Linked DNA regions of Arabidopsis thaliana. The protein of the gene in region 1 binds, or shares a complex with, the protein of each later gene. Each region holds a gene or a part of one and is shown in the gene's direction. Other genes may lie near its edges. The genes, in order: SYN3, SYN4 and SYN2.

Region 1 (10,483 bases):
AAGAATTCATGGTGAGAGGCCCAAGGTCTATTACGACCTAGGCCCAGTACCACAAGTCAAGCCGACACAGACAAAAAATTGGATTCAATGTTTTTTTTTCTGACTCGATTTGGTGAAAAGACGAAACTTTCTCCTGGAAAAATCTGGAACAAGTTAGCGCGAACACGACGAATCGAATCAGAGTCCCAAGGAAGAAAAGATCTCTCTTTCATCCTTCTGGAGAATTCATATACTTTGGTCGATTGGTTTTAGCTGAAAAGGTCTCTGCTTTGAGACTAATTCTCAGATCTGTGTATTGCTTGCTTGCATCGCTTTCTACCTCATTGTCGATTTGGAGGAGGGAATTGAGCATTGGGTTTAGCTTCTTAAGTATGGGAAGACCTTTGTTTTATGATATCATTGAGAAACCAGCAACGAGCTGTATCGTAACGTTATGCAGTGTGATTTGGTTTGTGATTCAGAAGAAGAGTATTGGGTACTCTCAAGTTGGATTGAGTTACGAGACTGCAATCGAAGGGCATTACTGGAGGATGATTACATCTGCTTTATCACATATTAGTGTCTTGCATCTTGTGTTTAACATGAGTGCTTTATGGAGTCTTGGTGTTGTTGAACAGCTAGGTCATGTAGGTCTTGGCACTGCTTATTACCTTCATTACACTCTTGTTCTTGTTGTGTTCTCTGGTGTTTTGGTTATTGGGATCTATCATTTGTTGATTGCTAGATTCAAGATTGATTATTTTCGGCGAGTTACAGCTGTTGGTTACTCTTGTGTTGTCTTTGGTTGGATGACGATTCTCTCTGTTAAGCAACCTTCTTCAAAGCTGAATCTTTTTGGGCTTTTGTCTCTTCCCATTAGCTTTGCGCCATTCGAGTCACTCATTTTCACTTCGATCATTGTTCCACAAGCTAGTTTTCTGGGACATTTGTCGGGAATCCTTGTTGGTTACGCCATTTCGTGGGGTCTGATTGGTGGGATGAACAACTACTGGGCTCTTACTATGCTTGGTTGGATTGTAGTTGTCTTTGTGTTCAGTTTGAAGAAATCGGGTGCTTATGATTTCAGTTTTTTGGAGATCGAATCGCTTACTGATGCTTCTTTACCCTCAGTGCGGTTTATTGGAAATGGCCGGACCTTGCAAGCCAGTGCAGTTCCTCTTAGTGGAGTGGAAGTTGTCTGAATTCAGTTCATGGTCAATATTGTATTTGGGAACAAGTTCTTGTCATCGAGGTAGTAGATGAAGACTGAGAGTTGGTAACCAAGATTTTGCAGTTTCAAGTTCCAACCAAATTTAAGAGATCCTCAAGGCTTGCTTGAACTGCGTAATGTGGTGAAAAGGATTAAGCAAGCTAGTGTTGTTTAGGCATCATTACAGATGAATATGACACAGTCAATTCTTTTGTCATGTGGTTGATGTATAGTTGCAAAAGGGTCCCATGTCTTACCTAAAGATTCCGTCCACTAGACATGTTTCCTCATTTGTGACATTCTCCTTTATTTCAATACGAAAGCATGCTACCAACAGTCTTGTATTACTCGTTTTTCTTTGATATATTGAATTGGTGAAATAGCAGAACGATATATTATTTGCACTCTTTCAAGTTCACAAGGTAATTAGATGAAGTTTTCTGCAGGTCTCTTGGACTAGAGCAGTGTCTTCTTTTGTTATTAGTTTCCATCTTCTGTCATTTCCTTGTTTTATATTCCAAAAAGAGAAGGTAAGAGAAGGGTAGAACAATCACCGATTCACAGTTTCAAGTTTTTATTTATGAGCAGTTTTGGTTAGATGATTATTTTGAAGCTCTATCTCAAATAGAGTCATGAGAATTGTATTTGGTATCAGAGTAGTCTAACTTAGATCAACTTTTGACTAGTTGTTTGTTTCCATTGAACCTACTTTCAACCCAATTTTATTCACAAGATCTGCATTTCTCTGCACCCACAATGTTTTACATTGCTTATATAATTTGTACATTGATCAGGTGAATCTGATCTTACTTTCTGGTCCACCTCTAAGCACTTTTAAATGGAGAAGAAAGGCCAGCATGGTACATATGAATCAATGATGACTCATCATCCGATCCTCTGTATCATTGCTTTATCTGTACTTTTCATAGCAATCGACCCCTTTCACATGAGTCCAATCGGGGGTCGTGAGTTCAAACCCGTGAAGCATGAGGTTGCTCCATATAAGGAAGTCATGGGAAGCTGGCCTAGAGACAACCTTAGTCGACTGGGTAATCATGGGAAACTGGAGTTCGTGGACCAAGTCTTTGGTCCAGAGTCATTAGAGTTTGATAGTTTAGGTCGTGGTCCATACACAGGGTTGGCTGATGGAAGAGTGGTTAGATGGATGGGTGAAGCAATCGGATGGGAGACATTTTCGGTGGTAACATCAAAATGGTAAGAGATTACATATTCATCACTTCTTTTTTGTGCAGAGAGTTTTGTTTCAGTTTTTCTTATTGATGTGTGTTCATGAGAATTAGGTCAGAGGAAGCTTGTGTGAGAGGTGTGGATTCAACAACAAACAAGCAATGGAAGCACGAGAAGCTGTGTGGGAGGCCTCTTGGACTGAGATTTCATAAAGAGACAGGAAATTTGTATATTGCAGACGCTTACTATGGTCTACTTGTGGTTGGTCCTGAAGGAGGGATTGCTACGCCTTTAGCTACTCATGTGGAAGGAAAGCCTATACTCTTTGCCAATGACCTTGACATCCATAGAAATGGCTCCATCTTCTTCACTGACACCAGCAAAAGATATGACAGAGCGTAAGACAACTCTCTTATTCTTGCTTTGTATGTCAATTCCTACCGTAAATTGTATGATATAGAAATTATACTTGTATTTTGTAGGAATCATTTCTTTATATTACTGGAAGGAGAATCAACAGGAAGGCTTCTAAGATATGACCCACCTACCAAAACAACACACATTGTGCTGGAGGGTTTGGCTTTTCCCAATGGAATTCAACTCTCTAAAGACCAATCTTTCCTCCTCTTCACCGAAACAACCAATTGCAGGTATGACCCTCAACTTTGTGTTTATATAGCTGTATCTATCATTCATTTCTCTTCATCATTATGTGTATGACAGATTGGTGAAGTACTGGCTGGAGGGTCCAAAGATGGGTGAAGTCGAGGTGGTGGCAGATCTCCCGGGATTCCCAGACAATGTAAGAATAAATGAAGAGGGTCAGTTTTGGGTTGCAATTGATTGTTGCAGAACACCGGCACAAGAGGTTCTTACAAACAACCCTTGGATAAGAAGCATCTACTTTCGGTTGCCAATACCGATGAAGCTGCTTGCGAAAACGATGGGGATGAGAATGTACACTGTGATATCGAGATTCGACGAGGAAGGTAAAGTCCTGGAGGTGCTCGAGGATAGACAAGGGAAGGTAATGAAGCTTTGGATTGGAACAGTGGCTCATAACCACATTGCCACTCTACCTTATCCTTTGACAATGAATCAATGAAGGACTTTGTTGTGTAGTTCCTGAACTAAATCATCTCTCTGTAACTTAATTATCTTCGTTTTGATTCAAGTTCCTTTGGACCGGTTTGTCTTTTGTTGATATTATGTGTGACCTTAGATTCCTCATGAAATTCTCTTTCTTTCTTTCTTGAGTCTCTTTTTTTTTTTGTTTGGTTCACGTCCTATGGAAGGCTTCATAACTTGAGCCATCGCCCAGTCTTCTTCGACTCCCGCGAAATAGAAAACAAGAGTATGCAATGAAGAATTGCCTTGGAAAACAAGAGTATGCAATAGAGAAAGTCTCGAAAGTGTTGGAAGGTTGAAGATAAAGAGAATACAGAGAGGTAACGGAAAAATAACGACTGCTTTTTCTCCAAAATGATGACGTTACAATCATCTCCATTACGACGTTTTACTCTTTTTTCAGTAACTTTTTCTGTAGTTTGTTTGGCATCACATAGCAATGAACATTTTATGAAATCTGTGGTGTCTGCTTTCTTCTCAAAGCACAACTATCCAAAACTCCAAACTGTTGGGGCCATATATATTACTAACCAAGTTGATAGCAAAAAAAAATACAAATCCAACTCATAATTTAGTCTTGAAGTTATAAGAAAGAAACTCAACGGAAGTCTGAATCATAGTCATTCAAAAGACAGCAGAAAGGGAAAAAACAAAATCATCTAAGACAAGGGTATATAAAACCATGATAGATCCTGATTTCATAAGATCTTCAAAGGTCTTGCACACTCAAACCTGAAATAAACAATTGGCAAATTCAACTTAGATAGAGATAGACGCATGCGTTCATGGACCAACCAAAAATAACTTGTGACCTAAACATGCCAATTAAAAGTGTCTGAATTAAAGTAGATTAACCACAAGACTATTCGAATTCAAAAACCAAAATCCAACAATATTATGACACTAGAACTTTCAAGTGATGAATTACTCAAAGCTAGGAACATCTATCCAATCTAACAAATGTTATGAGATAAGAGGTTTCAAGTGTGTAATGTTTGGGCTGAGTCACAGAGAGAGAGAGAGAGAGATAGTGAACCTGGAGGAAGAGACTGCTTCAACTTATCGGCCTTCTCTTGGTCGAAGACACATAGTGTGTAGAGGTACCTTGAGCACCTGACCTTGAACTTCACAATGTCCTTGCTTCTCTTGATCTTCACAGACCTTGCATCCTTCCTTCTCGCCGTCAAAAGGAAGTCCTTGATCTCATGGATTTGCTTCGGCTGCAGATTATCCAAACCAACATCCATTTTCAATCAATACAAAACAAAACAGAACACACAACAAGACTTCGACCCAAATGTTACTGCATGATGAACACTTCATACATTTCAAGATGAAACTTAAACCAATGGGTCAATTACGAGGAAGACTCTAATCTACTAGATTATCAGTAACCAAACAAGAAACCCACAATAAGAGATTGATTACTTTCAGCTCAATCATGCAAACTTTACTAAAATCCTAGTCGTGAGAACAGATAATCAAACAAATAATATTTAGCTTCAATAATCCTCCTGAGAATAATAAAACTGAGAGGCGAAGAAAACTTTACCATTGTCGGATCTGATTTAGTGGCTGCAACTTTCTTCCACTCAAGAGAACAAACAGCAAAAGCAAGAACCCAGCGTCTGAAAGAAATAGAGAAACCTAAATATGAAGAAAACCCTAGACTCTCATATACGCGAATTTCCAAATGTACCCCTTAGGCCCATTAATCCGAAAAGTTGGCCATTGGGTTTAGTGGCCCAAGTTGTTTTGTTTGGCAAATTTCAAAAAACTCGGATCCAATAAGAAAAGGGTATTTAAGTCATTGCGTCTATTTGCCTATGATTTCAACATTAGCGCCACAAAATGTTTTTTCCCGCTCCACTAAAAAAACACTTCTTCCTCTCTCCAAAAGCACACAAAACCCTACCGCTTCGTCTCTCTCTCTTTCGCTCTGCAGTTTCCTATTCAAAATTGATTGGTTTCTCTAAATAATGTAACACCTTCGATTCGATAATCCTTCTCTCTCAAATCAACTTCAGTATCTCCATCTCTGCTTCTTTAGGGCTCCTTGTTCGAAGGAATTAAAATGTTTTATTCACATACGCTTTTGGCTCGAAAGGGTCCATTGGGGACGGTGTGGTGCGCCGCTCATGTGCACCAACGCCTCAAGAAGTCTCAGTACACCTCCATCAACATCCCCGACACTGTTGGTTCGTCTTTCCTATCTTCAATTTTCGCTTTTTGATCCAAAGTTCGCTTCTTTTTTTTTTGAATCCCCTTTGATTGTATCCAATTCGAAATTTCAAAAAGGCAATACGAATTTTTACATGGGCATTCATCAAATTCCGATTTTGTTTTTTATATATAACCCATTGTAGTAATTGAAATTCTCTGCTTTAATAAAGTTTCTGACTTTTCGAGAATTTTGCAATTGGCTTTGCAGATAATATAATGTTTCCTGAAGTACCATTGGCATTGAGAACGTCAAGTCACCTTCTAGTTGGGGTAGTGCGAATATATTCAAAGAAAGTGGATTATCTTTACAATGACTGGAATCTCCTTAATACTTGGGTAGCTAAGGCTTTCGTTTCTACTCAAGTTAACTTGCCTGAGGATGCCAGACAGGCCCCGCCTGAGTCTGTTACTTTGCCTCAAGCACTAAATCTGGACGAGTTCGACTTGGAAGATGACACTCTCGACATGTATTCTTCTTTCTTGCTTTTATTTGAGTTTTTATCTGTTCTAAAGCCTGACTCATCTTTAACATTCTTTTCTTGTGAATTCTAGGGAATTCGATAATCATACTCGGAGTGAGGAAGATATCACTCTCACAGGTACCTTTTGTCTGTGTTTTTTTTCCTTGGTTCTAGATGCAGCATACCATGATTTTGAGGTGTTTATGATGTTGATGCTTATTTTTCAGATCAAATTCCTACTGGCATTGATCCTTATGTTGCTGTAACATTCGACGAGGTGAGATTACTGCTTGCTTCTTATGACTTTGAAGTTGATTCTGACTTCTTGTTTCCCATGTCTCCGAGCACTTGTTATTGAATGAAAGTTTGTATGCCTTTCTTACAGGACATCATCTCAGAATCTATCCCGATGGATGTCGAGTGAGGCTCTTCATAGAGTTTTGATTTCCTTTACTACACCTTGCTCTTAATCTTCCTTATCTGTTTAGTTGATCTTCTTTAATAATGTTGTTACATATTTTTTTGCTTTGAGCAGCCAATCAACAGAACCTGTGAGTAGGCATACCGGAGAAATTGATGTTGAAACGGCTCATGAGACAGGACCAGACAATGAGCCAAGAGACTCCAATATTGCTTTCGATACTGGAACCTATAGTCCTCGTAACGTCACAGAGGAATTCACTGAAGTCCAGGATCCTAGACAAAGTAACTTGACAGAAGAGCGCATTCCCAATTCCGAGAGAAACGATGCCACTTCTCCTGGAACTGTTCCCGAGATTGAGAGAATGCGTGACGCTGCACATGATCTAAGCCCCACGTCCCATCCATCATTTGCTGCACAACAACAGGATGTCAGAGTTGAACGCACTGAGTCATTGGATGAAACTTTGAATGAGAAGGAACCCACTATCCCTAGTATTGATGAAGAAATGTTAAATTCTGGAAGGCATTCTGCGTTTGAGCTTCGCTCAGGATCTCCAGGTTCTGCTGCTGGTTCTGAGGAAGAACGTGCAGATTTTGGTGAGCTAGCAACATAGTCTGATAATTTGAAGCTTAACCACTACATTCTCTCTCTTATTATCTATTTAAAACACTTTTTTCTTTATGTTAAGTGCATCCATCACCTCAACTGGTGCTTCAGCCATCTCCTCCTCCCCAACCACAAAGAAGGGCAAGGAAGAGGAAGAACTTTGATGGTGTCACAGTATTAACCAACAAGTAATAACTTTTCCGTTGCTTCATGTGGCTTTGATTATTTCATTAGCTGTTCCGTACTGATCAAATAGTTTGAACAGGAACATAAGTGAAAGGCTTAAGGATCCTAGTGATACTCTACGTAAGAGAAAGAAGATGCCTTCATCCAAATTAAAGTTTTGGAGAATGAATAACCAGTCAAGGAAGGATCAAAATTTCAATGAGCCCTTGTTTACTGGTAACTTTCTTTGATTATTATTTTATTTTCGACAGTTTTGCCTTCTTTTTCCCTTTGTTTTTGAAGAAAGATTATTGCCTGTATGTGTCAACCTGCAGGCTTCTCAGATGATTTACGCAATGTCTTTGAAAAGGACTATGTAGCTTCAAAGCCACATCTTGCTGTTTCTGATGAAACTTTACCAGAACCTGCATCTGTATCTCCTACTCGAGAAGCTGAAGTAGAAATTAATCCGGTCTCTCCAATTCCAGATTCTACTAATCCAGACAGTACAGTTCAGCTATCTCCAGCGCAGCAAACTGAAGATGTCCTAGACTCTGCAGGTCCTCGACCCGCGCATGCAGAGTCTGTAGCAACAGAAGCACAATCTCCTCGGACATTTGATAACGATGACATGGGAATAGAACATTTAAGGGATGGTGGTTTCCCGGTGTACATGCCGTCACCACCTCCAAGATCTTCACCTTTTAGAACCGATGACTTCACCACTCAGTCTGGAAATTGGGAGACAGAATCTTATAGAACAGAGCCTTCAACTTCCACAGTTCCAGAGGACTTGCCTGGCCAAAGAAATTTGGGGCTTTCACCTGTTTCTGAAAGGACTGACGAGGTTTGTTCTCGCATGTTCGCGTGTTTTGTTTTTACCATTCTTGGTGCGTTGCTAACCTTGATAGCAATACCATTTGCATGTGCCATACAGGAACTTTATTTCCTGGAGGTAGGTGGCAATTCCCCAGTAGGAACACCAGCTAGTCAAGATTCTGCTGCTTTGACAGGGAGAGCAAGGTATATATATTCCTAAAACCATGTGGATTTCATTTAAGAGCCTACTGTTTCTCTACTAACCTGTAACATTCATTGAACATTGCAGAGCCTTGGCTCAGTATCTTAAACAACGTTCTTCAAGTAGTCCCACCACATCAAGCCATCCTTCTGGAGATCTAAGTTTGAGCGAGATCTTGGCAGGAAAGACACGGAAGCTAGCTGCTCGAATGTTCTTCGAGACACTGGTGAGTGATTCTCTGTACATATGTTTTTCTTTGTATCTCTGTAGTGCCTCGAGCTTAGACGAGTTGTTTTTGAATTTGCAGGTTTTGAAGTCTAGGGGACTTATAGATATGCAACAGGACCGACCATACGGAGATATCGCTTTGAAGTTGATGCCTGCCCTTTTTTCTAAGGTTCAAACGTGAATAAACAATGCTTAATAAACTTACTTATGTATATTATTAACATTGAAGCTAGACGAGGAAGTAGTCAATTCTTAATTTTTTGAGCCCTGGTTTTATTACATTGTGTACAAGTAAAGCTTCACCCTAAGAGATGGACAAACGTCTAAATTCCATCATTAGCCAATACTTCACTTGAGTTCAAATTTGACAATGTTGTAAAAAAACAAGTTTTTGAGATTCTCTATGATTCTGGAAATGAAAGACTAGCACGTGTTGTGATGGAGTGAATTATGGAGCTAGATGCTCTCAAGCCTCAACATGTGTAGATGCTCTCAAGCCTCAACATGTGTACCGATGGAATCAAAGATATCGATCACATAAATTAACGGAGTATACATAGATAACCTCATAAATGTTATAGCAAAACCTTCTTCAAAATCTAAAGACGACCTACCTATTCTACAATTGTTCTTCTTTTGTATATCTTAGCAGACTATGGAAATCTAGAAATAATATTATAAATTATAGGTGGAATCTATCGTACTCATCAGTCATCATTCTCTAAGGGGCATGACAGGACCATTGCATAAACTTGGTCTTTGGCTACAGTTCTCATCATGACTTGTAATCTCTTCTGGGATTTGGTTCTCCATCGCGGTTTGATTCTGTATCTCATGGTGTTTATGATTCTGAGACTGAATGTGGCTCTCAATCTTGATTACCTGATTCTAATAAAAGGTATGCAGTTCGATATGAGGATGGAATATTGCCAGATGCAACAAAACTATGTATACTTTATCCCTAAGTATGAAAGGATACGCTAGTAAATGAATGCACTGAGATATAACGTTTCAATTCATATGAAGGAATTTCGAAGAAGAAGAAAAGAAGAATCAACTTGTTGAGCATCTAACCTTGTACAAGTATTTCTTACGAAGTTTTATGGCTGTGCGTATGCATCTTCTCACTCTAATTGCAAGCAGCTTGTCATTACAAATCTGAAAATATCTAAAATCAGTAAGAAGTTTTATCGTAGTATAAAAAGTACAACAGTAGTATTCAGCAAAGAAACAAAGCCCAACATGCACAAATGCAGTGAAAAACATCCTACCTTTATCATGTCATCGATCGAGCGAGTTTCTTTCATGATTTTATGCCGATTCATGATTAGAATAGCCGCCACACAAAAGACTGGAAGAGGGTCATCTCCTTTCCCACAGGATGAAACTACACAAGAGGCATGGGTTCTTTCATTCCTAGACCATAAATTTCTTGTCAAGCCACATAAACTGTATGAACCTGCTGGCTTCATCCCAAAATCATCAGACAGCGGACCAGTTTTTGGCAATGGACCACTTTCTGGCAGTAGACCGCTCTTGGACAACAGACTGCTCTTTGAAGTCCGGTCGCTCTTTGAAGTTGATTCACTATTTGTAGTTGTGCCATTTCCATCATCTATTTTATGGTCCCCCATATCAACTCCAGATCGTTTTGGAAGCTGAACAACCAACGGCTTCAAGCAATCCTTCTCTAAAGTTTCAGCAAAAGACTCATCAAAATCAGCAGCCCACATCATCTACAACAGATAAAGATCCATGAATACATATGCAAGAGTTTTGAATCTGGTACGTGAAGGCACATATGTATAATAAGAAATCCAAGATTCTCTTTTCTACCAGTCTCTTGCAAC
Region 2 (10,483 bases), on another chromosome or scaffold:
TCTACTTTCAAATTTGTTTCTTTTGTGGTTAACAGTAATTACCTCACTTTCTTCATAAACTGGTTGATTTTGTAAAAGTTCAATTTTTATGCATCAAGTTCCTATGTTTGTGTATCCGCTTAAGGAAACGAAGTGACAAATTATAAGAAAAGACTTTATATATGTAACAGATCATTGACGAATTACATCAAACACTCAAAAAACAAATGAACAAATCACAATAATACCCACCGAAACAGAACCATAAAACCAACATTTGATATTGATCTAACTCAACAGTTCTCACCACAAAACAAAAGGACACAAACTTTAAACTTGGAACGGCCATGGCCAGTCCTTCGGATTCTCCTCACTCTGAACCTTACCAGTTCTCTTCATCGCAACGCCATCACCACCATCGACATAAGCATAGTACTTCAAGAAGAAAGCACACACAAGAACGATCCAATCAAGACAAAAGATCACAATACAAAGACCACCACCGAGTTTCAAAATCACAGCAGCATCTTCCTCACGCACATACGACTTAAGACTCCCGAGGAATTTAGACGTGTTGGTGAAGATGAGAACAGAGACAGAGCCTTGGAATATAGCAGTGAGCACAGTTGCAACCATGTGAGCGGCGTACCAACGGTTTCTTCCGCAAGATGCAGCAGCGCAGCCTGAGACTGCGGCGGCGATTGTGGTGGCGTGGAGGAGGATGAGGAGGAATCCGCAGATGGAAGGGATTAGACGGAGAGAGAGTGTGAGGAAGATACAACTTGAAGCAGCGCCGAGAAGGATGTAGTTGGAGAAAAGGAAGATCTTGTGTGTATGGTAATGAGACTCTTCTACTGGTGATGAAGAAGAAATGAAACCCATGATGAGTTTTGAGTTTTTGAAAATTTTGGATTTTGAGAAATGGGTTTCGTTTTCTTTGATGAACAGAAGAAGAAGAAGAGTGTGTGATTCGTGGAATTGAGAAGAGCGCAACGAGTTTGTTTATGTAGAAGTTAGTGAAGAGAGAGATTGTAGAAGGTAAAGTTTCTAAATATGACCGTTGTTGAATCTGGAACGGCTGTTTTTGTAACGGCTAGTTTGATTTTAATAAGGTGGGCCCAATGATTGATTATAATATAATAATTATAAGGTGGGCCTAGTGGGCCGTGTATTGGTCATGTTTATCCGGGTATAATATACTGTAGTAGTAATAACTATAGTGGGGCCTAATGGGCCGTGTATTTGATTCATGTTTATCCGAGACAAGGATACGATTACTCTATATCCAAACAAGGTCAGGGTCCTCTACCGTCTTCCTCCTGCTTCCGCCATTCTTCGGACTTTTCGTCGTCGTCTCTCGAACGCGTCACTCTTATAGTCGGTTTTGTCGTTGTCAGTAATTTGCGATTTTTGAAGGTTAACGAGAAAAATGTCAGACTCTGATAATCTACAGCTTCCACCATCATCGACAGGTGAGACCTTCTTCTTCTTCTTCTTCTTCTTTCGCTTATTCAAATTTCCAAGCTACGTTCTTCTTTAGTGTTTTCGCGAGACGTTTTTTTGTAAAAGTCGGTTTCGTACAAGTTTCGATAGGATTTTTGTTGGGAGGGATTTCGAATTTTTCTTATTGGTAGAGAGTTCTTAGGGTTTAGAGGAGATTGATCAGATAATGAAAATTTGGGATGCTCATCTTTATCATCTGTATTTTGTTAATTCTAGGGGCAACAGTTGCAGCTACTGATGTTGGTTGGTACATTCTTGGTGAAAATCAGCAGAACCTGGGCCCTTATACTTTCTCTGAGCTATGTAGTAAGTGTTCATGTTAACAGATTCCTTGTTCTAGTAAGGTTTATAAGAAATACGAGCTATTAAGCGCTGTACTTTACTTGTTTGCTTTGATTGGGCAGACCATTTCAGGAATGGTTACCTACTAGAAACTACTCTAGTCTGGGCTGACGGAAGAAGCGAATGGCAGCCACTTTCTGCCATCCCCGATTTAATGTCAAGGATATCCGGAGCTGAGATTGCCTATCCAGCTGTAGGTAAGATCCTTCTCACCATTGCTAGATAATTGAATTCTTGGTATTTTTTCTAGTATCCCATATTCAGGGCACTTACTATTTGGTATCTGACCAGGTTCATCTGGGTTGATAAATGGATCTAATGCTGGAACCAGGCAAGAGAAGCAAGATTATACTGGTTAGTTATTTATGTAGAAAATGAATTCTTCAATGTTATAATTTGCAAAAGTGTCGACCATGCTTACCACGGTATGTTGTTATTGTAGCCTCTGCTAGTACTGAGGATGAATTTGAGAAATGGCAGAGAGAGATTAAAGACGCAGAAGCAGAGGCTGAAAGGTTGAAAAATGGTTCTGTCTCTGGTACTGAGCTTGTTGAAGATGATCATGAAAGGGCATCTTCACCACCTGAGGGCGAAGATGAGTTCACAGATGATGATGGAACAAAATATAAATGGGACAGAGCTCGTAGAGTATGGGTTCCTCAGGTAAGGCTTTGTTTTGTCCACCAAATCAACCATTCTTTCCCAGTTTCAACTATTTTAGTGAGCTCAGGTGTCCACCTGACTTCCAAGTCGTGAGTGGAATCATTTGTGTGTGTCATCTTGCTTGGTGGCTCATGGCTTTACCTTTTCTGAAGAAATTCTCAATTAATTTGACTATCTCCAATATTTTTATCTGTGTTTATCAAAATTGACTACCAGGAAACCTAACTAGCCTACTCATTGTATTATTTTCTCTTTACTGGTTTTGGTTTTTCCCTAAGGAGCATCTTTTGGAAGAGAAAGTAAGAACTTTTTTAATAACCTAATTGATGATGCTGTTTATTGTAGGACGATCCACCACTGGGTAGCGTTGACCCGTATGGACTCGAAGAGATGACCTTTGCTAAGGAAGACGAAGTATTTCCAACAATTAACATTCTTGATACTTCTGTTGATAAGAAGGATGCCTCTAAGGATGACGTGGCTGGTAAGAAAGAAGAAGATGGCTCTGATGAAACCGCTGAAATAAACAGTAACGGCAAGAGAAAGCTACCAGAGCCAGAAACTGAAAAGAAGGTTTTTCTTTCTTCTTCTTTTGTCTTCCTTTCGGTTTCGTAAATTAACCTTTGATTCATTTCTCTTCCTTGAGGTCATACATGTTACGTCATGTTTGGTCTCACTTAGCTCAACCTCGAGCTGTAAGTACTGGATTTCTTGATTGTGGAGTCTTGATTTTTCTTCAGCTGCTGAATTGTAGTGGGTAAATTACTTTTTTTACTGATGTGCACATCGTAAAGGGGAAAGAAAAACCAAATTGTTCTAAGACATCATACTTATATTGGGACTAGCAGAATACCTTTACTATTTTTTTGTATTAACTAGTAATGGTTGTTTGTGTTGTATGAATCAAAGAAACTAAAGTTGCAATTCCTCATGAAATTTTCTGCAAACGTTTCTAAGTTTCAAATTCATTTTCAGGAACCAAACAAGCCTCCAGATTCGTGGTTTGAGTTAAAAGTAAACCCACATATTTATGTTAATGGGTTGCCCGATGATGTCACCATCGAGGAAGTAAGTTGTGGTCATACTTCTTCTACCATTATGAATATCTGAAGCTTTTAAATGGACTGATAGTAGGTATATCATTACAGGTAGCTGAAGTTTTTTCTAAGTGCGGTATAATTAAGGAGGTAAATCTCACTATCTGAAGATTCTTCCTGTGTTTTATTTTGGAATCCTGTGTAAGTATCCCCTAACAATGTGGATCTGGTAAACAATTCAGGATGACACTGGCAAGCCTCGCATAAAGCTATACAGTGACAAGGCGACAGGAAAATTAAAAGGCGATGCTCTTATCTCCTATATGAAGGTAATGGCTATATTTGAAGTTCTGTCCTCATGGGATGCATAAGGTTATGATTTTAAACTTTGTCTATTTTTCATCTTCATGTGTATTTGTTTTTGTTTTCACTAGGAGCCCTCAGTGGATCTGGCAATTAAAATCTTAGACGGGGCTCCGTTACGTCCTGCTGATAAGCTCCTCATGTCAGTTTCTCGAGCTAAGTTCGAGCAGAAAGGTTAATACTATTGCACATTTGTTGTATAACAACTTATCGGTTATGTAAAACATCCCATCTGTGGCTTTAGTTTCGGCAATATTTTACTTATGGTTTTTATTGGCTTTACTTTTTTTTTACTCAGGGGAGAGATTTATAACTAAGCAAACCGACAACAAGAAGAAAAAGAAGCTTAAAAAGGTCGAGCAAAAGTTGCTTGGATGGGGTACGTTTTCGCTTTCGTGTACTAAAAACTTACCTTATCTCTAGAAAGACGCATAATAGAGAAATATACTAGGAGATGCTAGAGATTCATTTCCTTACGACCATAGGAAGGTTTATTGTTAAAATTATAATTTCTTTTACTAGGAAAAGATGTATCTATATTGTCTGTGCTTTACCAGATCTTTGTGGAACTCTCTAAACTTAACCATTACTTAGCAAAAAGACTGCACTAAAGACTTTTAACCTAATCAATTTTGGAAAGAAACCTTTTAATGACGAGAGTTTAGAAACACGATATAGGGGTTACAGACATATCATTCTTTTCTTATTCTTTCTGGTGACTTGTGATATCTTAACTGATGAGCGTTTCCTGTTATTGAGCCATTTTTTCCTCCTACTATGTTTATTTAGGTCAGTGGCCATTGCGGATGCATGGATCAAAAGGGAACATATAGTCATGTCAATATTATCTATTTCTGATTATTCCTAGTTGATTTTGAGCATATTAAAATCAAAAGAAATGACCATTTTAGTTGTTGAAGTTGGAGATTGTTCCTAGTGGATTCTAAATTTTATCACATTTCCTCTCTTTTGTTGACGTAGGTGGTACAGATGATTCTAAGGTCTCAATACCTGCAACGGTTGTTCTGCGCTACATGTTCAGTCCAGCTGAGTTGATGGTAGGTCTTGTCCAATAGTTAATATGAGAAATGTTGCTATTTTTAAGAGTAGCTGATATAGCTTTGAGCATTTACTCTGTTTGCAGGCTGATGAGGATCTGGTTGCTGAGTTAGAGGAAGACGTGAAAGAGGAGAGTTTGAAGCATGGACCGTTCGACTCAGTGAAGGTAATAATATGATTTCTTTTTATCTTAAGCTGGTGGTCTTGCTTGCTGCATATAGCTTTGTGGAAAACTTGAGATTATTTTGGAGTACCAATCGAATCTCTTCTTTACAGGTATGTGAGCATCATCCACAGGGTGTTGTTCTTGTAAGATTCAAGGATCGGAGAGATGCACAGAAATGTATAGAAGCAATGAACGGTCGATGGTACAAACTCTCCTGAGTCATCATTTCCGCCTAATTGCCATTAGAGTCGGTATTGAGTCTGATGCTTACATGTACTTCTTTCTGTTTCTGGATGAATGCAGGTATGCAAAGAGACAGATACATGCGAGCCTCGATGATGGATCAGTGAACCATGCTACAGTTAGGGATTTTGATTTGGAAGCGGAACGGTTAGATCAGTTTGCAGCTGAACTGGAAGCTGCTGAGTAAAAAACAAAAGCACAATGATCTAAAGCTGGGAAGATTTGGATTATTATTCTGGGAAACTCAGGTTTCTGATGTAAATCACTAGGCACAGACACATCTGAATCAGACCAACGCAAACCCAGAGGACCGGTTTTATCTAGTACTAGTAGTATTACCTGTAGTGAAATTAACGAATAAGACTGCACTTGCAAGTGTATTTTGATATTCGTTGACTAAAAACCTTTACTACTATGTAATACGATTTTCTTCTAGAAATTTGAAAAATCGGAATTTAAAAGTTATGCTTCACTATATTTTTTCCTTATTTGTTAAATCATGATACTTAGCAGTTTTTGTGTGACACCATCACATGAATTTTTGTTTCTATCAATCATTTGTTTAAAATACTTTGTATTGTAGTTTGGACCTAAATTTCATACTTTTACAGCAGAATGTTGTCAGATGATCTCTAATAACAGAATCTTTATTTTTCTGTTTTTCTTATTAAAAAGTTTCGATTTTTTTCAGATTTCCCGCAATGAGGCAAAAGAAGCCGCCGAGTTGAAATATTTTGAAAAAAATGGAAAAACCCAAAATATTTTCAAGTAATAATTAAATGAAGTTAAATACTGTTGGGGCTAGTTGACGAAAACAAAAATTGTTGAAAAATGATCTAAATCTAAAGCTATGCGGGACCCGCTAATCTCTTAACCAATGAGAGAACGACGTATGTCACGGAACATGTGTTTCTTTGCCGCACCAAATCCCTCATTTAATCAAAAATCAACCAAAGATCCAAATTTCGAAACTTTTTAGTTTTTTTTGCATATCGCAATTTCCACAAATTTTACTGTTTTCCTTGGCTGTTGTTGTGTCTGAATCTCCAAGAAGAAAGAGTTGTGTCTTTAAGATTCTGCTTTTACCCAAATTGGGTGTTCTTTTTCCAAGTTTCTGAGAATTAGGGTTTCCGCGAGGACTCTGTTCAAATCGAGCTGTTTTGGACTTGTTTGAGCTTGGTCAATTCTACGGTAATTGATCTACCCTTTGCTCTCTATTCTACTTACCGAAGTAGTCTAGTGTCTCTGCTCAGTGGCAATTGCGAGACTTTGTTGTCGGTTTGAGCTATTTCGATTCTGTTGTCGAAATTTGGAAACTTTTTTTGATTCTCTATAGACGTATCTTTGGGGCTGAAGAAAGGGATTTTGTTATCTGAATAGTTTTTGAAGCTCAATTTTGTTACGGTGAAATTCTAACAAGTTGGTTCCTTTTTGTTGAATTTTTTTAGGGTTTTTTGGTATAGAGGACGAGGAATGTTTTATTCGCAGTTTATATTAGCTAAGAAAGGGCCACTTGGGACAATATGGATTGCTGCCCATTTGGAGAGGAAGCTTCGAAAGAATCAGGTCGCTGATACTGATATTGGAGTCTCCGTTGGTGAGTATTTTGCTACCTTTTGCTTTTGTGTACAATACCTCTGATTCAGGTCTCAGTTCGTTGTGCTCACTAGGGTTAGCAGAAGCTAAAGTTTCCTTCTTTTTCAGTTGTTATGTGGCTAAACAAGTTCATCTAAAATATTTCCTAATATAACTAATTTCTTTTTCTGAGCAGATTCTATTCTCTTTCCGGAAGCTCCGATTGCATTGCGATTGTCTAGTCATCTTCTGCTTGGTGTTGTGCGTATATATTCGAGAAAGGTGAATTACCTCTTTGATGATTGCAGTGAGGCATTGCTTAAGGTAAAGCAAGCTTTTCGCTCTGCTGCTGTTGACCTACCCCCTGAAGAATCTACAGCGCCGTATCACTCTATTACGTTGCCAGAGACATTTGATCTTGATGACTTTGAGCTTCCAGACAATGAGATCTTTCAGGGGTTGGTTTCTTTATGTTTTAACATTCAAACTCGTATTCCACTCTTACTCCAATTTGCATAATTTGTTTATTTGTTGCTCCTTGTTTTCCTGTCTAGCAGTAATTACGTTGATCATCATGTTAGTACAAAAGAGCAGATCACCCTTCAGGATACCATGGATGGCGTTGTATACTCAACGTCACAATTTGGATTAGATGGTCAGTGGTTGTTTCATATTTGCTTGTCTTTAGTTTGTAGATAGCTATGCCGTAGATAAGCAAAGTCATTTTAAAACTTTTGCAGAGCGATTTGGTGATGGCGACACTTCTCAAGCTGCTTTGGATCTTGATGAGGTATTTTTGTGTTTATAATAGATATTTTCTACTTTGTTCAAGTCATTTTGGAACAAGAAATAGGATAACCATATAGAAAGCTGAATATGAAGAGGTTATCTGTAGATTTCATTTGCTTTTAGATTTTGGGTTCTTTCTCTCCTCTGTTTGGGTAGACGCAGCAGCTGGAAGCTCTGATTGGTATCCAGTTGCGGAGTCCTAGACCGTGAAAAGCTTGTAATTTGAAGTGTTAGGTTGCAGTCATGTTGTAGCGTCAGGATAATGTTGATGTTTTCTTTTTCTAGTGAAGCTTTGCATATTTGCAATCAGAACTTCTCTCTTATTATTTTGGATGTGATCTTTTATCATTCCTCTCTTGTTGTGCAGGCAGTATTCCAGGACAAGGATGTTATTGGATCCGACGATGAGGGAGTTCCAGGGTCAGTTTTTGTTCATTATCTTTGGCTATATTCTTTGTAGCATAATTGCTTTTATGCTTCCCTATGGTTCCTCTCAAATTAACTATCGAAGTGTCAGCTTGATCTTCTTTTCTGGAGCTGTTCAGTACCTTTTCTATATTTTCATACCGCTACTTCAGATTGTTATCATAGATTTTAAATGCTCACATTAGGGAAGATCTCGAGTTGACTGAATGATAAAAAGCTTTGCGTTTTGGCGCTTGAATGTGTGTGTTTCAAGCTTTGTAACCATGCTTTTTAAGTTCCATGACATTCATACCTTGAGTTTGTGTTTGTTCTGTAATTGGATTGTGAATTAGAACTGCAATTCTGTGAGTCTTATCCTTCTTGGATGTGGACCTTTGGTGCATAATTTGGACGTGCAAATTATCAATCAAAAGTTTTACTTATGTAAGATATTCTATTTGTTGATAGTATTGATCACAACGCGTATCTGGATGCGGCAGCACCCGGGATAAAGGATTCGATGGAAGGAGTCTCTGAAGCCATGCCCATGGATTTTAATGAAGAGCAGGTGCGTACCATACATAATGCACGAGGGCATACCTATAGTTGCTTAATAATTGTCACCTGAGTCACAGTGCTTAATGTGATATATTTTACTTTGCATTATGTCTGAATGTACATTGCAGTTACAGACTCCAAATTTACAATTTGTTTACACAGATTTATTGGCTTACTTTTCTGGTAAGACTATTGGATAGTATTGTGAATCTCTCTTTTTGATAGGTTGAAGATCTTGCTATGAATAATGAGTTCATCGAAGATGCTCAAGCTCCTCAAACTCCTGGATTAGTTGAGGTGCCAAACTCGTCTAGTGTGAGAGAGCAGATGGCATGCGATGATCACATGGACGTAGAGGATCTGAATGCAGAAGAAGGTATAAAGTCCTCTGGGGAGCTGAATGCTAATGAGATGCCTAAACGTGGGGAAGACCTGTCTTCTGAATATAATGCCCCAGAATCAGCAGTTACTCCTGTGGAGGTAGATAAGTCACAGATAGATGAAAATGTCAACACACAAAATGAGCCGGAGGAGGAGAGGGCAGAGCATGTACATGTTACATCTCCATGTTGTTCTCACATCACCACCGAGATGGAGGATCCTGGTCAAGTAATGAATGAGGCAGGAGCTAATGTTGTACCTGATAAACCCGATGCTGTTCCTCCACTTGAAACCCCTGGAGAAGAGAACCGAGGTTTGTTGGCAAAGAAAATTGCAAACCTTATACGACATCTTAGTGCCTGCCTTATGCTTATAATTTTTATTGTTGCCAGATCATTTTGCCATTGCCACTGAGGTCAATCAGGAAACAGATTCTAGTTTACAAGGAGATGAGCAAGCGTACAGTAGACCAGATGGGCAGCTGAATAATGCACACGAAACTGATGAACAGTTGGGAAATTTGACTGGATTTACCGATTCTGATTTCCCTCCACCTGAGAAGGTATTAGCTGTACCTAACAGACAGGGGGATGGAAATGATTTCATGGTTGAATCTACACCAGATAAAGAAGACCCTGGCACATGTAATGATGATGCGGGGAATAATAACATTACTGGGAAAAAACGCACTTTTACTGAGAGCACACTAACTGCAGAAAGTTTGAACTCTGTGGAGTCAGTTGGACTGATTCAGTCAAAGAGAACTGCAGATTCTGTCCCTGATGACGATGATTTGTTGTCTTCTATCTTAGGTATCAGTTTATTTTGGATACTCTGTCTGTTCTTTTATACATTCTATTGCTCTTTGAGCTAGCTTTATGGATCAATTATCGTTGAATTTTTTTTTTTTTTCAGTTGGAAAGTCATCCTTTCTGAAGATGAGGCCTACCCCTGTGCTTGAACCAGCAACTACAAAACGGTTACGATCTGCTCCCCGCTCTACTGCCACAAAGAGGAAGGTTCTAATGGATGACCCTATGGTCTTGCATGGCGAGTATGTTTGTCTTACTGTTTTCTTATATCTGATTTTCTTATACCTTAGTTTTTTTGTTCCACTGCTCCAAGTGGACCTTTCATAGAAGTTCTTGTTTTAGCTACTTAGGTTCAAGACAGCTAGAGTCAGAAGTAAATTAATGTGAATCTTGAATTCGTTTGACTACTGATTTTTTCTTTACTGTAATTGGAGTTTGGTCTTCTTTTAAGTTTCACACCTTTAATTACCTAGGAGCGATATTTTTTTACCTTATCTCAATTTGTATTTGTTTTCTTCTGATGTTGCCTACTTTTCTGTTTAGCATTATACGTCAACAACTGACAAACACTGAAGATATACGGCGCGTGCGAAAGAAGGCACCTTGCA
Region 3 (10,483 bases), on another chromosome or scaffold:
GTCACTCGCAAACGCTGTATTTGCGGGTGCTAGCGATTGTTAGCGATTGACATCAATCATAGAAACCGCTAGATACTGCTTTACACCGTTCAAAATCGCCAGATTTCAAAAGCTCATTCCCGCAAGCATTTGCGGTTGCGGGCGGTAGCAGTTAGGTTATTTTTTTTTTTTAATTAATTAAAATAATTATGTCTTCTACCCAAACCCTATATATCTTATTCTTATTAAAAAAAACCTAATCAATATTTAACGGAAGATTCCAAAGATCCCAAAATCAGATTTCTAAGTGATGTTCAAAAAGAAAATATTCTTAAGAATATTAACGACCAGTTTGGGAAAAATTTGAGTTGGAGATGTGTTAAAAATCGTTTGGATATCTTGAAGAAACTTTATCATATGTATAGAGGCAATCCGGAAAACCCGCGAGTTCAACGTTATTTATAGTTTATCACACTACTTGATGCAATTTTTGGTATGTACCAAATGCATAAAGTATTAAACTTTTTCTTACAAAATTTATTTATTTTAAATTTAATGTTTTATTTATGGTTTTAATTATTAAGCATGTTTAATTTTTCTAATATTATCAATTTATCATAATAATATATTGTATTTTTCTTTCTTTTAATAGTAATATATTATATTTATTTTGGTTTTTTATTTAATTACTATCACACTTGCTGGTTTACCGGTCATAAAACTCCCGAAAACGCACCCATTATCAAACGCTTAACCAGTCGTTTAAAAGGCTTGATAACGCTTAAAACCGCAACCGGCCGTTTCCGCAAACTTGCGCAACCGTAACCGCACCCGCTGTATTTAAACCAGTCAGGCCCTTATATAAGAATTGATCAAATTATTGGGCTTTTAAGAGTTAGGTCGAGAGACTTTTTATTGGGCATAATTTTATTCTATTCAGGCCCATTCGCAACGTAATGCCACGTCGGACCAATGGTCTATGAGATGTCGCTGTCACTTAAACGCCACGTAGACTTTTAACCGGACACGTGTTATACAAAATGACTGTGCGCAGTTATAAACGTTTAAACGCTCTTAACGATGCGTGAAGGAGTGAGACAGCTCACATTTCCATCAAACTAGTCGTTATCTTTTAGTGTGGTAGTATTATATTATTTATTTACTTCTTTTTCTGTAGAATTTAGAAAAGGTAAATATAAATATGAAGTCAATAATCAGCATTAGCATATTTCAATTCAATTGTTATCTTCGTTGATTAATTTTTAACAGCAATGTTTTTTTTTTTCCTATTCAAAAAATTAACTTGTATATATATATATATATTTTGTTTATCCAAAATTAATTAAATAAATTATAAATTATCTAATACTATCAGACTATCACTCCCTCCAAAATTATTTTTTCTATTCTTATGGAAAAATAGGAAATTGCACAATTAAAAAGGAGAAGGTTTTTTTTTTTTTTTTTTGATCAACAGAGAAGGAAGTATCAATTAAAAAAAAATGCATAATTAAGAAGGTGTGATTTTCTGGTCACCGTCTAATTAGGAAAATTTAAATTTATGACACCTAATTCAAAACATTTTCAATTTCCAAAACTACATAACTTGTCAATAGACTTTAAAAAGTTTAATTACTCTAAAACGACTTGAAAATAAACAGATTAAGCGTGACTTAACAAGAAAAAAAAAAACTAAAATTAAAATTAAAAGAAAAAAAGTTAATCGGTTTAGTAAGAAGCTTGTTCCGTACACCGCTTGACCGTTTCCTTCTCCTCAATTTCTTCTCTCCCTCGCTTCACTATTTTACGAAGTTGCTCGCTCTCTCTCTCTCTCTCGCTGCTCTCTTAAAAAAAACTAACCTTTGTCTAAAACCCAGAATCTGGTAAACCTTCACACTCAAAAATGTTTTACTCGCATTGTCTAGTATCGAGAAAAGGACCTTTAGGAGCTATTTGGGTCGCTGCCTATTTCTTCAAAAAGCTTAAGAAATCTCAAGTCAAAGCTACTCATATTCCTTCTTCCGTTGGTTTGTCTTTCTCCTCCTTCACATTCTTCTTCTTCTTCTCTCTGTTCTAGTTAGAGATTTTTCTCCGGCGATTGGAAAAGTGATTGTTTGAGTGAAACTTTGCAGCTTTAGTGGATTTTTTAGCTGGAATAGAATTTTAGGGTTTCGTTTGTATCCATTGGCAGCGTTAATTAGAGATCACTGTTGATTTTGTTGGGGTCTTTCAATGTTACTTGTTTATGTTCATCAGTTGTTTGACAAAATGCCTGAGTGAACCTCAGAGATTGAGTTCAGTGATTTATTTTAAGTCTGAATAGTATCGAATCCTTAGTAGTATCAATCTGCCTTTTCTCATATAAACTTAAATCTAAACATTTCATCTTACTCACTTAGTATCAGAAAGCTGCTGGTCAACGCTTAGTTTGCTTGATCTCTAAAGTACTTGTATCCTCGAGAAAGATGGACTTTTTTTCTACAACATTTGACATTTTCAGTATTTTTTACTTTAATGACGTTTCTGATGTGTAATTCTTCGGGGGTTTTTTTTTTGGATGCACAGATCAAATCTTGCAAAAAGAGTTAGATGCGTTGACATACAGAGTTTTGGCGTATCTTCTTCTTGGTGTTGTAAGGATATATTCCAAGAAGGTTGACTTTTTGTTCGATGATTGCAATAAAGCGTTGATCGGTGTAAAGGAGTTTGTGGCTAAGGAAAGGAACAGAGAAAAGACAGGTGTATCATTGCCTGCATCTATCGAGTGTTTTTCCATTGCTTTACCTGAGAGATTTGAACTAGATGCTTTTGATCTTGGGGTTCTGGAGGATTTTCATGGGTATGCTTGTTATTTCTATATAGAATGTATTTCGCAGAGATTCTTTCATAGTCTCAACTCTTTTGTTTCTTCTTTCTCAGGGGAAATGTTAAGCCGCATGAAGATATTACACTTAAAGGTATCTTATCACTAAAGTCGTTTAAAGGGAATCTCATCACTGTTCATTTACTAATACCACTGCACTGCGATAAAACAGATGGAAGTCAGGAAACAGAGCGCATGGACATGTATTCGATGGAAAGGGTATGGTTTCTCACCTTATAGATTACTGAGTGTGTAACTGTTAGGTTCTAAGCTACTACAGCGTATATTGACATTGTTTCTTCGTTCCATTCCTTTTAATTCTGGTAATTTCGTGAATCTATATATGTAATAAAGATAATGCTTTGTGGAGTTGCAGTTTGACATGGAAGAGGACCTTCTGTTTACGTTTCATGAGACTTTCTCTACCAATCATAATGAAAATAAACAGTGAGTCTGATATTTTTGGTTCCATACATGTAATCGGCAAACACAATCCTAATTTTCTGTTTGTTGTTGCAGTGAGAGTTTTGCTCATGATATGGAATTGGATGCAGAAAATGTCAGAGATACCACTGAAGAAGCATCCGTCAGAGTCGTTGAAGCGGAACCACTGGATTCTAATGAACCATCCAGAGATCATCAAAATGCATCTAGGCATAGAGAGGATCCAGAATCAGATGACATTCTTCTGGAACCGCAAATGTCCGAAGATATCCGAATAGCTCAAGAAGAAGATACAGTTAGAGAAACCATATGTACCATTGTGCAGAGACTAGTGGATTCTCATGAATCCTCAGGAGATAATCTACACAGAGATGGTCACACAGAGAATTTAGAATCGGAGAAAACCTCGAAGAAAACAAGTTGCGAAGAGATGCAGCATGACAGGTCCCTCCCATCTGAATGCGGAATACCTGAAGCAATTCATGGGATTGAGGATCAACCTTCTGGTGCCACAAGAATTAATGGGGAGAAGGAGATCCCTGAGATGAGTACTCTAGAAAAACCAGAACCAGTATCTGTGACTGGTTCCAGAGACTTGCAAGAAGGCGTAGAAAAATGTCGAGACCATAATGAAGCGGAAATGGCAGACTTTGAATTGTTTCATGGGTCTCATAAAGAGCAATCTGAAACTTCTGAAGTGAATCTCCATGGTTCCGAGAAAGGTTTTCTCTCTGACATGACTGTTTCTAAAGACCCTAGTAGCGAATTTAATGCAACAGATACTCCAGTTACTGTCACTCCCAAAACACCTTCCCGGTTGAAAATTTCTGAAGGTGCACACTTTATTGAAATATGAGCTTAATATACTTTTAGTTACGTTTTTAGCGTGTTAACCTATACTTTGAATTACAGGGGGAACAAGTCCACAGTTCTCGATCATCCCTACGCCGGCTGCGAAGGAGTCTTCTCGAGTTTCACGGAAAAGAAAATGTCTGATAGATGATGAAGTGATAATTCCGAACAAGTAAGAGAACTATTTGTAACCTGGATTAGATTCGTCTGCAGAGTTCCGTACAAGTATGTAATATTTGGTTCTTTTGTTATTGTAGAGTTATGAAGGAAATGATAGAGGACTCAAGTAAATTGCTTGCAAAACGGAGAAACGTACCTCATACTGACTGTCCTGAGAGGAGAACCAAACGTTTTGCCAATCCTTTTCGAAGTTTTTTGGAACCTTTGATTCAGTGTAAGTAAAACCTGGTAATCCGCTGTATATCGTATTGTATTGTTGTGTTTGCTGATTGTTGTAATCCCGCAGATGGTTCTTCGGACCTCCAGTCGCTTTTTTGTCAACCCATCAAGCTTAAAAACTGGGCAACCACAGGAACCCCTAAAGATACTAAAATCGCTAGACATAAGGAAAAGTCTTCTCTTGACACTGTCAGATCTCCTGGGGTTATTTTATCTTCAGATCAGACTGAGAATACTCAAGAAATTATGGAGACTCCTCAGGCTGCTGCTCTCGCTGGGCTGAAAGTGACAGCCGGAAATAGTAACGTGGTTTCGGTTGAGATGGGAGCAAGTTCTACAACTTCTGGAACTGCTCATCAAACAGAAAATGCCGCAGAGACACCTGTGAAGCCTTCAGTTATTGCTCCAGAAACACCCGTGAGGACATCAGAGCAAACAGTGATTGCTCCAGAAACACCAGTAGTCTCTGAGCAAGTAGAGATTGCACCTGAAACGCCGGTGAGGGAATCAATGTCGAAAAGATTTTTCAAGGACCCTGGGACCTGTTATAAAAAATCCAGACCTGCAAGTCCCTTCACTTCCTTTGAGGAGCACCCGTCTGTGTATTATGTGGAAAATAGAGATCTTGATACGATTTTAATGAACGATGAGGTACTGCTGTGTTGCATCCTTCTGATAGTAGTTAAAAAGGTTTTTATAGTTCTTTTAGCCTATCTTATTTAATTGCAAGACTGAGCATTTTTTTTTTTTGTTTCTGCTTCAGCAGGTGAATGCAGATGAAAGACAGGACTTACAACAAGGTAAAACGCATTCTGAATTTTTGTAGGTCTCATGAGTGCTCAGGCTTTTATTGATTTAGTAGACAAGAATCTATTAAGTTTCTGAAATTATATGTAGCTTTGAGTGAAAGTTTCAACCATCGAAATATACGCAACTTATTTGGAATCCAAATCTTATCAAATTGTTCTTGTTGCATGTCGATCATCGTGCTGCGTCCTTACCATGTATATTTTGATTTGCAGAGACATGGTCCTCAAGAACAAGGTAACAGACTCACACTTTCGGTATCAACAGCTTCGATTCGCTTACATTCAGATGATTATCCTGGTTTTCTGACGCTGGATTGTACAGGAATGTGGCGAAATTCTTGGAAAAGACGTTTTTGGAACAGAGGGAAAGAGAAGAAGAAGAGAAGGTGAGTTTGTTGCAACTGTGTAGAGGAAGAACTCAGAAGGAAAGCGCAAGACTCTTCTACGAGACTTTGGTATTTCTCAATTTTTTTACAAGCACATGTCTTCACCGTTTTATCTGTCTCCATGAAAGACTTAAGATGGAGAAACTCTCTGAATTTGATTTTGCAGGTGTTGAAGACCAAAGGATACGTGGAAGTGAAGCAAAATCATCCATATAGTGATGTTTTTCTCATGCGTGTTTCCAGACCACAAAAAGCTTGTTGAAAAATGGATATTTTCTTCACTTAAGATTTTCCTCAGATTTCTTCAGTTAGGTTTCAGATTAATGTTGTTAGCTTTTAGTATCTTCTAACAAAATAGCTATTTTTAGTTTTTCTTTTAAGTTAATTTTTAGTAAGAATAATTGACGATCTAAAGTATATGTGTCTTATCAAGTTTTTAAGTTTTTAAAGAGTCCTTAGCCATGCTATAGATTGTTTTAACGACTAGCAGAATTGTTAACATGTGATAACGGGTGCCAGAGTTTCGTTAAGGACTGATAACGCTACATCTATTTTGATCAACGAATTTATATATTTCAAACGTTTATAAATATTTAGTTCACTAGATTTTAACTCGCGGTATATTGCGGGATGATTTTTTTTTTTAAAGTAGTATATATCAAAATTTGCAAAATATATGTATTTATAAAATATTGATTCAAACATATTCATCATATAACACCATTTCAAAATCCAAAATATAATTTATTCTGTAATTTTTTTATCCGTCTCGTAATTTGTTTTTTAAAAATATTAATTTCTAAAATTTAATAATTATTTATTATATATAAAAGTATACAAGTTGTATTATTCTCTAAGTCATTTATATTTTATAGTTTAACTTTATATATAATAACATTATACCACATAACATTTTTGGTTTTATACAATTTTTTCTAAAAAAATAATTTTGATATGTCTAATATTGGTGGTCTTAAAAAATAATAAATTAAAAATTTAACCCGTATTAAAGCGGTAGATTAATGATATTTTAAGTTTTTATTAATATTGAATCAAAAATCTATCCCTTCAAATCCGTTTTGCCAAAAAGCAATTTATTTTATTAATCTTATTTATGATATGACTATTCGGTAATTGGCATGTGATCCGTATTTAGATCCAATAAGCCTCATAATTAAGAGATGGATATTATTATTAAATGACTTTGCTAATTTTAATGACGTGAAACGATTTTGTTCTTGATTAGATTTTTTTAATGACGTTGTCATGTAATTAGTTAGAAAGTTAAGGTTATATTTTAAATTGGACTTCCCAAATAATATAGTAGGACTAGATTTTAACCCGCGGTATACCGCGGAACGATTTATTTTTAAAAGTAATATATATTAAAACTTGCAAATTTTATTTTTACAATATATTTATATTTTACAGTTTATAATTGTTATTAAGTAACGCTATACCACGAATTCATAAGACAATTGTTAAAAAAACTGAAGTTTTGACCCCTATTAAAACAGCATATTAATAATATTTTAAAATTTTATAAATATTGATTCAAATACATCCACCATATAACTCAATTCTAAAATAAAACACGTTCTGTAATTTCTTTACCCGTCCCATGATTTTTTTTTAAAGTAGTAATTTTTAAAATCTTAGAATTATTTTTTATATATAAAAGTTTTGCCAATTGTATCATTCTCTAATACATTTATATTTTATAGTTTAATTTTATATATAGTAACATTATACCTACCACATAACATTTTTGGTTTTATATAATTTTTTCTAAATTAGGATGATTTGATATGTTTAATATTAGTGGTCTTAAAAAATAATAAATTAAAGATTTAACCCATATTAAAACGGTGGATTATTTATATTTTACTTTTTTATTAATGTTGATTCAAAAACCCGTCCCTCCAAATCCGTCTTGCCAAAAAGTCATTTATTTTATTAATATTAGTTTTATTAATGATATGACTCTGAATTATAATTTAAATATTTTAGCTAATAATATAGGAGTGCACCATATTTATTTAATAGGGGAATGTACCATATGACCCGAATGCATTTTTATCCAAATCCACCAAAAAAGTCTTGCAAAAATACTATAGAGATAAGAAACGATAGTCGGTTTTGATAGATATAAGATAAGCAAATATATTAGTTAGCTTAAATTAGTTAAAGAATACAAATTAAAAAGGTATATTACACTTTATTCAAATATAGTATCAAAACTTATATAACACAGAGATTTGATAATTTTTTAATTGTTGAATACTTTTTTTGTTCTAATTTTATGTGATTAAGATTTAATTGATTACATATATAAAATATTAAATTGACTTATTTGTTTATAATTTGGTAACAGATAGATATTTGAATATTCAGTATATTTTGCTTCAGTTTAGGAAATCTTTGATGACCCGTCTTTAGATCCAATAAGTCCTATAATCTAGAGATTATCTGCAGTATACCGCAAGTATGCTTATATTTTAGTTAAACTAAAATTTTTTATTGTAAAGATGATTTAAAAATATATGATATTATTTTATTTGATTTTAAATGTATAGTAAACTGTGAACTGTATATGTTTTGTTGATATTATCTATATTGTTTGGTGTTTAAGATTATACACTTGTAGTTTGATTGTTAATTTAAGAGTTTCACATGTAGTATACCATCTTGTATTAATATCGATCTAAACCCGTCAATTGTAGGATTTTCCAGCTTGTATTAAAAATTGAATCACATCTAATATGTTATTAACTATTGTCGTATATAAGATTATAAATTTTCAATATAATATGTATGAAATTAAATATAAATATTTCAAATTTATGTCCCGTTACTCAGTAGAAAGTTTTCTTAAATCTATTTTTCACCCGTTATAATATTATTTCATGTATTGAACAGTTTATATTCGTTTTTAAAAATTCAAATTATGGCATATGCGAAAAAAACTCTAATTATTTTTTTATAATGATGATATTATTTTTTCGTAAAAATAGAATCATATAAAGATGAGAAGTGAACTATAATAATTAATAAAAATTAATATGATAATTTAGATACCAAATATAGTTTGTTGATTTTAATTGGTTACTTTTTTGGAAATTAATAATGTATTTCGTTTTTCTAATTAAATTAAATTAATTAAAATTTAGATATCAAATCTTATATGTTGATTTTGATTGGCTATTATTTTTGGAAATTAATAATGTTTTTCGTTTTTTAATTAATTTAATTAATTAAATTAGTATTTGATTTTTTAATTTTTAAAGAGATAAATTAATTTAATTTTTAAAATTTTATTTCTAATGGCATACTTATGTAATTACTTACAAAAATTAAAGTTATATTTAAAATATAATTCTCAAATAATATAGTAGGATGTTTTAAATGGCTATATATAAAAATAATGTATAAAATAACTAATATATTTATATGTTGTAGGATTAAATGACATCAAAATAACATCAAATTATAAATTTGAATGGAAATATAATTTGCCAAAAAAAAAAAAAGAGAATATAATAAATTACTTTATTATTCGTTTGTCGGCGATATTCTGTCCTCGTCACTCGTCACTCGTCACTCAGTAGCTTTTCTATACTTTTCTATACTTTTCGATATGTTCATCGGCTGAATCAGAGTAGGTCACTGGATCTCTCGTAAGTCTCTCTTCTTTCTTTGTTTTTCGATGCTATTAATCTCATATTGCTTTTTATATTCATCGTGATTCCTCTTTTTTGATTTGGTAAGATCTGTTGATACTCGTTACTAAATCCCAGAAATTGAGATCTTCTCTTGATTGTTTCGATCATCTGTTATTGGACTATTTATGTATGTACAAAAATTTCAAGGATCCTCAGGATAGTTCTTCTCTTTTGTCATTGTTTCAGAAACCTATTTGATGCTCTTTCGTTTCATGTTTGAAATTTGCAGATCCGATCATAGGTTCAACAATATGGAACAAATTTGGAATTGATGCAATATAAGCTACATTGAAGTATGGGATCTGTATCGCTGAAGATTGGCGATGGAACCGCAAGATTCAAGCGATCAACGCTTTTTTCTTCAGCTATCAACCTCCTTATGCTTTTCTCTATAGTCACTACAAATCTCTTTGCACTATACGCCTTCTCGTCTCGGTCTCAATCCCACACGCCACACCCTCTTCATTCCAACAATGTCTCTTTGGTTTCTCAACATCTCTCACTCATCCTCAGAGAAATCGATTCCTCCCACCACACACTCACTCAGATGGAGAAACAGATTATTGGTTATGAATCTCTCGATCTCTCGCAACAAGAAGTTCCACAAGAGCTTAAACTTTTCCTTCAACAACATCAGCTTCCTCTTGGTAAAGATTCTCGTACTGGTATCACACAAATGGTTGCATCTGTTGGACATTCCTGTGAAATGTCTCTAGATTTGTTATCTCAGTATATGTCGTATAATGTCTTTGAAAAATGTCCTGATGATTGGAGCCTAGCTCAGAAGTTGATTCTCCGTGCTTGTGAACCGTTGCCACGCCGTCGATGTTTGGCTAAAACGGTGCATAAACCAGGTCTCGCTTTGTTTCCTGATTCTTTGTGGAGACCAGTTGGTAACAGTAGTGTTAACTGGAGCGGTCTTGGCTGCAAAAGTTTCGAATGCTTGAAAGGTAAGAAACTGAGCCGGGATTGTGTTGGTTGCTTTGATCTAGCTACTAGTCATGAGAAAGATAGGTTTGTTAAGGTTAA

What was found.
Region 2: SYN3 (region 1) and SYN4 share a complex: the UniProt entries of both Arabidopsis thaliana proteins name them as parts of the cohesin complex.
Region 3: SYN3 (region 1) and SYN2 share a complex: the UniProt entries of both Arabidopsis thaliana proteins name them as parts of the cohesin complex.

Annotation. Positions count from the first base shown.
Region 1 is NC_003074.8:21,991,683-22,002,165, forward strand, and holds SYN3 (Rad21/Rec8-like family protein), read left to right. Parts: upstream 1-5,369; 5' UTR 5,370-5,579; coding exon 5,580-5,703; intron 5,704-5,936; coding exon 5,937-6,195; intron 6,196-6,280; coding exon 6,281-6,327; intron 6,328-6,416; coding exon 6,417-6,466; intron 6,467-6,574; coding exon 6,575-6,609; intron 6,610-6,724; coding exon 6,725-7,209; intron 7,210-7,301; coding exon 7,302-7,407; intron 7,408-7,484; coding exon 7,485-7,621; intron 7,622-7,719; coding exon 7,720-8,231; intron 8,232-8,321; coding exon 8,322-8,407; intron 8,408-8,492; coding exon 8,493-8,631; intron 8,632-8,712; coding exon 8,713-8,814; 3' UTR 8,815-9,055; downstream 9,056-10,483. Other genes in the region: RBL13 (RHOMBOID-like protein 13), read left to right, coding at 372-1,181; LAP3 (Calcium-dependent phosphotriesterase superfamily protein), read left to right, coding at 2,028-2,404, 2,491-2,775, 2,860-3,027, 3,101-3,482; AT3G59540 (Ribosomal L38e protein family), read right to left, coding at 4,215-4,237, 4,542-4,725, 5,058-5,060; AT3G59570 (Ypt/Rab-GAP domain of gyp1p superfamily protein), read right to left, coding at 9,348-9,521, 9,708-9,791, 9,905-10,369. UniProt on the Arabidopsis thaliana protein: May be involved in sister chromatid cohesion during mitosis.
Region 2 is NC_003076.8:5,309,955-5,320,437, forward strand, and holds the start of SYN4 (sister chromatid cohesion 1 protein 4), read left to right. Parts: upstream 1-6,242; 5' UTR 6,243-6,546; intron 6,547-6,803; 5' UTR 6,804-6,828; coding exon 6,829-6,952; intron 6,953-7,126; coding exon 7,127-7,388; intron 7,389-7,487; coding exon 7,488-7,585; intron 7,586-7,670; coding exon 7,671-7,720; intron 7,721-8,086; coding exon 8,087-8,139; intron 8,140-8,592; coding exon 8,593-8,692; intron 8,693-8,907; coding exon 8,908-9,376; intron 9,377-9,455; coding exon 9,456-9,875; intron 9,876-9,978; coding exon 9,979-10,117; intron 10,118-10,418; coding exon 10,419-10,483. Other genes in the region: AT5G16250 (uncharacterized protein), read right to left, coding at 310-861; ELF9 (RNA binding (RRM/RBD/RNP motifs) family protein), read left to right, coding at 1,409-1,451, 1,699-1,788, 1,887-2,021, 2,116-2,178, 2,267-2,487, 2,833-3,060, 3,463-3,555, 3,636-3,674 and 7 more. UniProt on the Arabidopsis thaliana protein: Involved in sister chromatid and centromere cohesion during mitosis.
Region 3 is NC_003076.8:16,355,122-16,365,604, reverse strand, and holds SYN2 (Rad21/Rec8-like family protein), read left to right. Parts: upstream 1-1,726; 5' UTR 1,727-1,882; coding exon 1,883-2,006; intron 2,007-2,150; exon of another isoform or gene 2,151-2,544; coding exon 2,545-2,818; intron 2,819-2,898; coding exon 2,899-2,936; intron 2,937-3,014; coding exon 3,015-3,061; intron 3,062-3,218; coding exon 3,219-3,289; intron 3,290-3,361; coding exon 3,362-4,119; intron 4,120-4,198; coding exon 4,199-4,310; intron 4,311-4,395; coding exon 4,396-4,532; intron 4,533-4,604; coding exon 4,605-5,188; intron 5,189-5,300; coding exon 5,301-5,337; intron 5,338-5,559; coding exon 5,560-5,581; coding exon of another isoform or gene 5,582-5,585; exon of another isoform or gene 5,586-5,668; coding exon 5,669-5,801; intron 5,802-5,898; coding exon 5,899-5,994; 3' UTR 5,995-6,274; downstream 6,275-10,483. Other genes in the region: AT5G40830 (S-adenosyl-L-methionine-dependent methyltransferases superfamily protein), read left to right, coding at 9,750-10,483. UniProt on the Arabidopsis thaliana protein: May be involved in sister chromatid cohesion during mitosis.